Drosophila melanogaster: one gene and its partner. The gene in region 1 interacts genetically with each later gene. Each region holds a gene or a part of one and is shown on either strand. Other genes may lie near its edges.

Region 1 (4,840 bases):
CGAAACATTCACTATTAAAAGTCTTCTTGCCAGGCATAGTTTCGCGCGCCTCCGCCAATGGCCAGCTCTTCGAGGAGGATGAGATCGAGCACGACTCACTGCAGACGGAGAACAACAATCGGAAAGTGGCAGCCACGGGAGTGGCAAGCGGTGGGGTTACCACCATCAGTACCACACCCGCCAACGCGGGCTCCAATCTTCTATCCGCCACCGATGCCATGGGTTCCTCTGAGAACAACTTGACGGTCTACTTCTAGAGCGCAGGAGGGGAGGCAGCTACTCCCGGAGAGCTTGTAAATATCGCTGCTAAGTCAGTTTAGGATTAGGTTTAGGCCCCGCACACGTGTATGTACATTGAGTAGACCAAATATAGCATTGTAAACAGACCCAGCACCAGATCTAGGCTAAGTCCAAGCGATTTCCATTGTAAAGTTTTGCTTCCCAGATTGTAAGAGGATCCGTCCAATAAAGTTTTCAACTATTCAATCACGTTGGCCCCTTCCATGCAAACAGTTTACCATACGAATCTCGTTGTTTATATTCTTGACGCTTATGTTCTACTTCGATTCTGGTGATCTTCACAACTTTGGCATGGACAAAACGAAAATAACGTGAATTAAAAACGCTTCACTGACTTAGAACAGATATTAGGATATTACAAATTCAATGCTGGGTACGAAAGATTATTTGGAATACAGACAGAGGCTCTCAGGGGTGTAAGATACTTGGAAATCACTATAAATTCAATATGAATTGAAGCTATAGTTTCTTAAGCATATTTGCTTGGCATTACTTTAAGATTAATGCGTTTTTTTTGTTTTGAAAGAATAAGAGAGCCACCCCATATGCATTGGAGTTTTTGTGGCATGAATCCAGACTCTTTCTATCTGGGCCTGCCTTTACCTGCCATTTCGTTTCGTCTTTCGCTTGAGCAGATTAAAGTCTCCGTACTGAATGTGATTGTCGGTCAGGAATGGCACATAGAAGGCACGTAACACTTTGTGCGACTTCTCCGGAATGAGGAAGGGCAGACTCTTCATCACCGACCAATCTTTGGATCGTTTTGAATAATTGGGTTCCAGAGCCGTATACTTGCCTTCATCAAAGTCGACGAGGAAATCGCAACGGTCGTAGTCAAAGTACATGTGCTCATTTTCCTGGTTGAGATCGTTAAAATACGGTTGCACTACCTTAGTAGCATTTTGACCTTCGTCATAGTACGCGGGCAGCATGCCTCGGAATTCGGATTTCAGAAAACGCAGCCGGAAGTTTTTGGCGGGAAAGAAGAAGCTGCCCGGATATCGATGCCAATCTTTGCCAATACACACGTTGTATATTACATCCGGGTCGTACTGCGGTGTCGCCTTAAACTGGTTCAGTTCCAGCATCAAATCCATCGGAGCATGGTAGTTCCTATACAGGGCAAACACCCTGGAAAGTCCCAACAATGTGCTGGTCACCATTACCAAGATGGCAATAAACATGCTGTGGTCCAGATAATGAACTCCCGCCTTAATTTTGAAGACCACCGATTTCATACGGAAGAATATGCGCTGATACACATCCACAGTGATGGCTCCGCAAAGCGAGATTAAAGGATATATGGGAAACAGAAAGCGCTCTTCCTTGTGCGGTTGGGCAAAAAAGACGAGAAGCCACAGGTACAGGGGAGCCAGCGAGATGTAGTGGGGGAAATTTAACGTCGACTTTGATTTGGCTGGCACAATCAAATAGTCTATGACCAGCATTATGGGTAGTTGAAGTGCCAGGAGCTATAAGGGAAAAAGTTATCATAAATTTAAGAGTGTAATAGATACAATAGCTCACCCAAATAATATTAAAGTTAAGGAAACCATTGATAATGTAGTAACTGAGTGGTTCCGTACCAAATATGTTTGGTCCGTGACTGGTGAACACATTGTACCAAACAATATTTAGAGGAGCAAATGTCAGTTTGCCAAAATAGCTGGTATCAATTGCAATCATGGGAATGGCAACCGTGGCGCCCGATATCAGTGTCCACTGAACAAAGGTCTTCCAATCACGCTGCCTTAAAAGCATCTCCAGCACCAGCGGTATGCCAATAAGCGCAGCAAATGGCCAACCAAGCAAAGCGGATATTGCTGTCAGGAATATGGCAAAACAGTAATTTTGTTGCCACCACGCGGCCAGGGCAGCACAGCCAAAGTACATGGAAAAGGAGGATGGCAGTAGAGCGGTGCTAGACACAAACATGCCCACACTGAAGAGCTGGAATATCAGCCACAGACGACCGATGTGAATTCCAAACTCTTGACAAATCGACCTAAATAAAGTTTAGTTAGTTTTGAACAGGATTTAGTACCAATGCCATGCTTACTTGTACATATATCGCTCCATTACGGCACAACCGAAACCCAACATACATCGCACCATGTAGAAGATGAGTATGGGACTGGGATTGAACAACTTTTGGTAAAAGTATCCGGGCACGCCCTGCAGCAATAGGTAGGTGTACGATCGGAGTCCAAACTGCGGGCTGTACTCCCACGTCTGGAGTCCATGGCCATTAATGATGTAGTGCAGCGGCTCCCAGTAGTTGAACGTCTCGTCGCAGTCGGCTATGTACGCCCAAATGGCGCTGCACAACCGGGCGCTCACGAAGGTCTTGAAGGCGGTCTGAACACTGGGCATTATGGGGTTGGGAAGCCCCTTCTCTTGACCACCACTTGTGGGTTGGTTGCTGCGGGTGAGAAGTAACGGCGTTTAGTGGGAGTCAGGGTACATAGGCCAATACTTACCGCTTTTTAGCATCCTTATCCTTTTTTTTGCCGGCCGGTGTGGCTTCCTTCGTCTTGTTGTTGCCATTTAGGCCCGGTCTTTTGGGCGGTTTCTTTGAGAGAATCTGGTTGTCCGCCTTGTTGGCTATGTAGCGAGCGCGAGCAGCCGGAGGCGCCATAATCCGGACTTTCTGAGAAAATTACCGGCGGAAAAGTTGCAAAGTATTGTATATTATCAATATTATGTGGCGCAGGTTATCGATTGCATCAAAGCTATCGTGGAAACCTGCATTTCAGTTGGGGTATTCTTGTCCCTAGTAATGTGCCCTATACACCAACTCAGATTTGTTATCGATATATGTGTAGACGTGAGTATAGTAACGGCTTTTTGAACTGGATGTGTGTCACCATTGTAATTTAAAAAGACAACAGTTTTAATATTGGTGTAAAAATTTAATAAGAAACATTAAAGAAGAAAAATATACAAATACAAAAATGAACAATTCATTAAGCTGAGTTCCGAATTGGTAGGTAATGAACGATAACAATGCACACTGAAATGAAAGAAACTTGAGGTAGTTAAAGTTCTTCCATTGGTAGAATTACAATACTTACCAATTAACGTGCACGTAAACATAGCAAAAGTGGTGTTGCAATAAGGCTGCAGCATAACTCCCATCAAGTTTGTAGCTGCAATGATCCCAAGTCTTCCCAGTGACATGCAGAAGCTAACTGCCTTGGATCTGATCGGAAAAGTGAATAATTATTTCAATATTAATAGAAGTGTAGATCATTTACCTCAAATGTGTAGGGACCAAATCAACAATGGCGCCAATCATAATAGAAATCGAAAGCCCAGGCAGAAGAATGTAAAGGCAAAAGAGAACAAGGACTCCTGTTGGACTTTCCATAAAATGCAATAGGACTCCACTTAAAGTTGCAACTGCCAGAGCAGCTAAAAGTACGTTTTTACGGCCCAAAGGATTAAGTATTAGTCCTTGAATCGAGAATCCAATCAGAAATGCGAAACCTACAACGAGGTTGTCAATATAGGTTTTGCTACTAATAGGATCGGTGCAGTCCTAAAATTAAAATTAAGTATTAAGATTGGTTACGTAATTTTAAAATATGTTCATAATTACCAAAGTTTCTGTAACATTGGGTTGTTCTACGGGTACGCTGAGAATTTCGCATACTGTTGAAGAGTTATTTTCGGCACCTGATGACCGATTAACAATTTCGGGAAACCAAAGCTGCATGCCGTTTGAACTATGTAAAAGATTATGTAAAAGATTATTTATTAAAGAACTATTAAGGTCTAACACCATTTAAGATTACCTGAAAAACATTCCGAATAATGCCAAGTTGCAAAGAATAAAATTAAATCCATGTGGCTTGTGGAAAAGTGGAATAGTGGCCCTGCAAATTTTGGATAATATACCACATCCCTGGCTTTCGCCCAACAAGTTTTCGCCCACTGGATCCTCGGACTTCAGTGTAAATTCATCGCAGCTCAAAACTTGTTGTATGGATTTTCCTCTGTTAAATTTACTGATCCAAGCCACAGCTTCTATGGCTTCGTTGTTCTTTTCTTGGGACAGCAGGAACTTGGGGCTTTCAGGATAATAGAGTAATATCAAGCCGCCAATAAATCCTGGTAGCAGACTAACTAGCAATAGCAAACGCCATGGCCTAAACACAAAATCTCCCATGGTGATGGCCCAGTTCGAGGAAAGTACCAACCAAGCAGTTGCTGTAAGTTCAAAAGAAGTTAGTTAGTAAATCAATTGCATCCATAAGTAATCATGCATACCTGGAACATATATGGCCGTAACACTGACGAACATCGTCGAATAGTTAATTGCCACGGCGCGATGTCGTGGTATATTGAATTCACTTAGATATGCATAGAGTGCTGCTGACACCGCGCCAACACTGTATTCATATGACAATCAAAAACTTTTGCAATAAATTACGTTTTAGCGCTCGTACTCACCTAATTCCAACGAGAAGGTTTATAATGTTAAATAGCCAGACGCTGGTAACAAACATCAGAACGAACTGGAGGGCATTGCTGGCGA
Region 2 (4,866 bases), on another chromosome or scaffold:
GATCAGGAAACTGAGAAAGCACAAGGCAGATATATCCAAGGATCAGCCGCCGGCGCTACCGTGTCCACCAGACTTGACTTCTGTGAGTCCGCAACACCATCTGCACCATCATCATGGCCACCATTACGCAAGTTCCGAGGCGGATTCCGTGCCGGCCACAGGAAATTCAACACCGTTACCGGGTTTCAGCAATATTCCCCATTGCAAGATAATACCCGTGGAGTCGTACAAACATGAGTATCCCGACTACGATCCCGATGAGGAGGAGACGGACGATCAGTGCGATCCGCAGCAAATGATGCTGCCGCAGAGATATAATCCTTATCACATGGAGCACGACGCCTGGAGTTCGTCCTGCGATATGGCGAATGATTTTGCTGGCTATGCCTCTGTGCCACAAAGTATTTCCGGATCGGTCAGCTCACCGCCCTCGGCCCCGCCAACAAATCCACTACTTAGGCGGAATCAGTATTGGGTGTAAGGTTTAGAAGGATGTTCTGCAATAAAGGGATCAATACAAGCGTTTCCAATTCGATCGGAATTAGTCCTAGGTTATTTATTTAAATATAAGCTTACGTTTAAGGCTGATTTATGAGATTCGTTAGGAAAAGTGAAGCATTTTATATACGAAAACATTAATTATAGTTTGGAAACAAGCACACATACATATCTGGCGTGTCATATACAAACGATTAGCATTAAGGACGAGAACAAGAGTTATACTCAAAAAGCCAACTTAACTTAGCCTTAGAATTGTGTTTGCCAACGTGGAATACTTTTTACAATAAATGACAATACTTTTAAGCGTAGTTCCCGTGTCTTATTTCAAAACTCAAAAAATTTTCAGGAAGATTTATTTCGCATTCGTAATTATTTTAACCGGATGGAAGTGTGTTGAGAAACGTTTGTGGTGATTGCGAATGAATTGGTTTTCCCCCATATTACCATTTACAAAACTTTTCCACATAAAAAACTTAACATGATAATAAATTGAACATTATAAATATATTTCTTAACAGTTATAAATATGTCTCTTCGTTCATAGTTGTGATGTTGTAAGTATTTTCGTTGCTTTAAGGAAAATATTAAAGTAAAGAGAAAAAAGTTCCTTTACATATAATTTCATACAGATCGAATATAAGTTTTCAGGGCCACATTGGGTTATCAAAAATATGTCCCAACATATATAAACCTATTAATTAAGGTTTATATTCTACAGATATGCGTATATATTCCATATTGATAGAAGACTTCTTGCTTAATAACTATGAAAAATATCACTAGTTTTAATGTGGTGCACATTTTGCTTTCGCTGGACTGATTTAGAAGTAAGAGTTTTCAAGTACTTGTATGGCCTTAGAAAGCGACGGGAATCGTCGCTGCTGAGGGTTTCTCGGAAACCGGCGTTACGACCATGGCCTGATTATCGTATCCGTATCCGATCTCCGTCATAACCGTTGTGGGCGTGGTACTGTTTTCCGCCGGATAGCGAGTGCTCACCGGCGTTGTCATAGTCACAACGGAACCCTCGGCAGCACCTGTAATAAATCATTGCAGGTATAATGTGTACATTGGGAAGTGTTATTGGAAAAACCCGGACAGGTAGATCCTTACACTTACCTGCCACACTGTAGATCTGTGATTGTGCCCGCTCAAGGTCGCTGCCGGGATGGTTAATGGCATTCAGATTCTGTATGGTGGTAGCATTAAGATCCTTTCCATTTGCAGTTGCCGGATGAGGGTAGGCCTTCGATTGGAGACGGCGCATCAGCTTCTGGAAGCACCGATTGCCTATCAGCCATCGAAGGAACTGAAACGCGCAACGAAGCGCAATCAGGACGAGAAGGATAGTCAGCAGCAAGAGGATCAGCTGCTGGGTATTCTGGATGTCCAGCATCTCGGCTTTTAACGGCTCAAATGTCTTGTAAGCTGTGGGTTGATAAAGAAATTAAATAATATCGCTACTATTATCGTTTTAAGTAAATAATAATTGATAAAACACGGGAACGTTTTTGATAACTCGTTGTACATAGTCAGATAAAAATTGCAAATGCAACTGGCCTTATCTTGCCATTACAACTTTTACAAATCTTTTACACTAAAAAAATTATTATAAAGCTAGTTTCAACAAATCATTTTTATTATAAAAATGTACATTCTTTAAATCTTTAAAATACCCCCTATTTTAGTCAACTCATGGGTGATGAGTTAATCACCCGCTGAAGCAACTGTAATTGAAATACAATTAAGTCCAGCTGGAAAAACCTGAACTTGCATAGAACCCGCCAAATTACCCTATGGATCGTGAGTTAATCTGAGGTAATCTTTTGGAAATCTTTGAATTCTACTTGCCTGAACATTCCTTGGCGCACAGAAACGCATCGTAGTTGTGGGTTTGATTATTGCAGACCTCGATGCACGGATGACATCTCTCCGTTGCAACATAGCAAAATTCATTGACCGGATGACAGATCGTGCCATGGCAATCCCTACTCTCTCCATTGGCCGCAGCTACCAAGGAAACACTTGGAATCAACGGAACTCCACCAATGGAGAGCGATAGGGCACTCAACTTCCTGACCGACATTTGAGGTATTTTATAATGTGTGCTTAATTTACTTGTTATGGGTATTTGGTTTTGTAGCGAGCTCGTTCCGCTAAGTTTGATCGAAGTTTACATTAGCACTGTTACAACTTTTTCCTCGTTTTAAGGTTTTTGTTTTGTTATTTTTAAACGTATCCAAAGTATGATTCATACACCAGTAACGCGGCCCAGACGCTAACTGACTAACTTCTTTTTTAATTGCTGGCTTCTGGAGTCTGAGTATTTTGCGTTGCCCTTATACGTATAATCACATGTGTATTGGTGCAAACGAGTTTATCTTAGCCAAGTTTTACAGCAGTTTTCATAGTATTCCGGTTAGTTTCTCAACATTTTCACACATTTTTCTAGGGGATGTCCGGACACTTAATTATTAGGTTTAATTCTGTATTTTTTACACCAATATATTATATATTATATGATTTAATACGCTTTTTAACTTTAAACGTTTTTAGCCATCGTTCAGCGACGCGTTTTGAGCCACATTCAACTCGTTACTGACTGGAATGCCGCGATCGCTCGCTGTTACCAACAACTCAGCACTCGCACCGAGGCATCTATCTCAAATACACACTCATTCGCACCGTGACTTGACTTTTGTTTACCTTTTTCACGTCGATTGTAGATGCAAAAGTATCTGTATATCTATGCTGTGGCAAGTAATACAAGTATTTGTGTGTCTGCGATCGACTGTTTATTTTGCGCTATGAGTGAAATACTCCCGACTTCGGCATACTTTGAACCCGGCTTCAGTTTCTTAAATTTCGGCTGCGATTTGACTTATAAAAATAAATAACAACGAGAAGGTAGTGCCTCAAGAAGTATTTTATAGAGACTACTTGCTCACTCACTTTATTACCCAAGTTATCAATTAAAATAATAATAAAGTTTTATATGAATAAACGACAATATGTTTAAGATAACTTTTATTGAAATTCCCAGTATCCCAATATGAACTATACGTTTAAAGTTTTTTTTACAACATTACCTATTATTTAAATTTTAATTATAATACCTTACTTTCACAACTAACTAGCAGTCGTGATATTTATAAACAAGTTTCTAGCTACACAATTTTTATCTAATTAAATATGATTTTGGAATTTTTTAAGTGTAGCATTTGTTGAGGATTGAAACCTCGCTTAGCTAACGCAATGGTGTATGTCTTTACTAAACAGCAAATGCCATATACATAAATAAAAGAAATACTGAAATTCGTTGCTCCCAACTCATTTTGGAAAATTAAATAATAATAAAAAACCATATGTACATATATACCGTTTAATGAATTTATAAATCAATAGTAAAATTATAACTTTTTGTATTTAGATTTGAAATCTTTTTGAAACTTGGCAGCACTGTTTTGAGTTATTCTCTCTCCTCTCTCTTATTCTCTCTTCCATTGCAGTGCCGCTTTCGAGATACATTTGTATCGGCTTCCAGTTCCAGCGCCGCTTGCAGTATTATTGTGTCTTCCAGTTAGCTGGACTGTATGGCCAAGTCAAACAACATCCATTCGCTGAGCGGCTTTCGCTGTTGAATGAGCTGTTTTGCTGCTTTCGTGGAACGACGGCCGCCGGTTCGTTGCGTATCTTTGGGATACAATACCTAAATCAAATCGAATTTTGAATTGCAGCTGTCGTTGTTGCGCGCGTGTTGATGGTGGAAATTGTGGAATTATAAGCATTATATCTCGTGTGGAAGTGTGAAAGTGAAATAGTTGCACCGAGAGCGACGCAATTAGATGAAAATATAGTTTACTCACGCTCTGTATCGCCGCATCTATGTATCTATTTTGCCAGCCCGCTTCAACAAGTAAACCAACATAAATTAAAAATCAGTGGAGTGGAAGGCGCGTCCTTGAGCTACCCAATTTAAACACCTGTTTTAGAACGAGATACAGATATTCTATAGAGATTTGAGCCACCGAAAGAGACAGCCAGAGCCTGTTAGAAAGAGAAGGGTGGCGAGAGGAGGAGAGAGATGAATAATTTCACAACCACAACAGCAGCCGCACCACCAAAGGAAGCGCTGCCCCGATCAGGACATGTTAATGAGGGTAAGCATGGGTTAAGAACCGAACCGAAGCAAACCATTTCGAAATTGGTTGAACATGAACAATTTCGTACGGGGCCTTGGATAATTGGAAATTGATTGGGTTTGAGTGTAGCTATTGAGATGAAGGGGCTTTGGAATTGGGGCGGGGGGGGCATGAGCACCACATAGAAGTGATTAATTTGAGGTCTTTTAAAATTCCTCTTCAA

Evidence for each region. A genetic interaction does not mean that the proteins touch.
Region 2: of Alg9 (region 1) and grnd, changing one suppresses a phenotype caused by changing the other (phenotypic suppression), as found in Drosophila melanogaster (one study listed by BioGRID).

Annotation. Positions count from the first base shown.
Region 1 is NT_033777.3:25,219,800-25,224,639, reverse strand, and holds Alg9 (ALG9, alpha-1,2-mannosyltransferase), read right to left. Parts: upstream 3,052-4,840; 5' UTR 2,939-3,051; coding exon 2,781-2,938; intron 2,723-2,780; coding exon 2,360-2,722; intron 2,306-2,359; coding exon 1,828-2,305; intron 1,773-1,827; coding exon 900-1,772; 3' UTR 522-899; downstream 1-521. Other genes in the region: Cad96Cb (cadherin 96Cb), read left to right, coding at 22-257; CG31103 (uncharacterized protein), read right to left, coding at 3,267-3,313, 3,375-3,502, 3,558-3,841, 3,902-4,028, 4,098-4,512, 4,573-4,694, 4,756-4,840. UniProt on the Drosophila melanogaster protein: Probable alpha-1,2-mannosyltransferase involved in the N-glycosylation pathway. Probably involved in glycosylation of the TNF receptor grnd, regulating its ligand affinity. Required for normal epithelial growth and architecture.
Region 2 is NT_033779.5:18,483,689-18,488,554, reverse strand, and holds grnd (grindelwald), read right to left. Parts: upstream 3,139-4,866; 5' UTR 2,588-3,138; coding exon 2,353-2,587; intron 1,930-2,352; coding exon 1,621-1,929; intron 1,539-1,620; coding exon 1,357-1,538; 3' UTR 534-1,356; downstream 1-533. Other genes in the region: kon (kon-tiki), read left to right, coding at 1-481; CG10283 (uncharacterized protein), read left to right, coding at 4,586-4,661. UniProt on the Drosophila melanogaster protein: Acts as a receptor for TNF-cytokine egr. Plays a role in activation of JNK signaling and is required for egr-induced apoptosis, including in wing imaginal discs during development. May also play an egr-independent role in cell proliferation.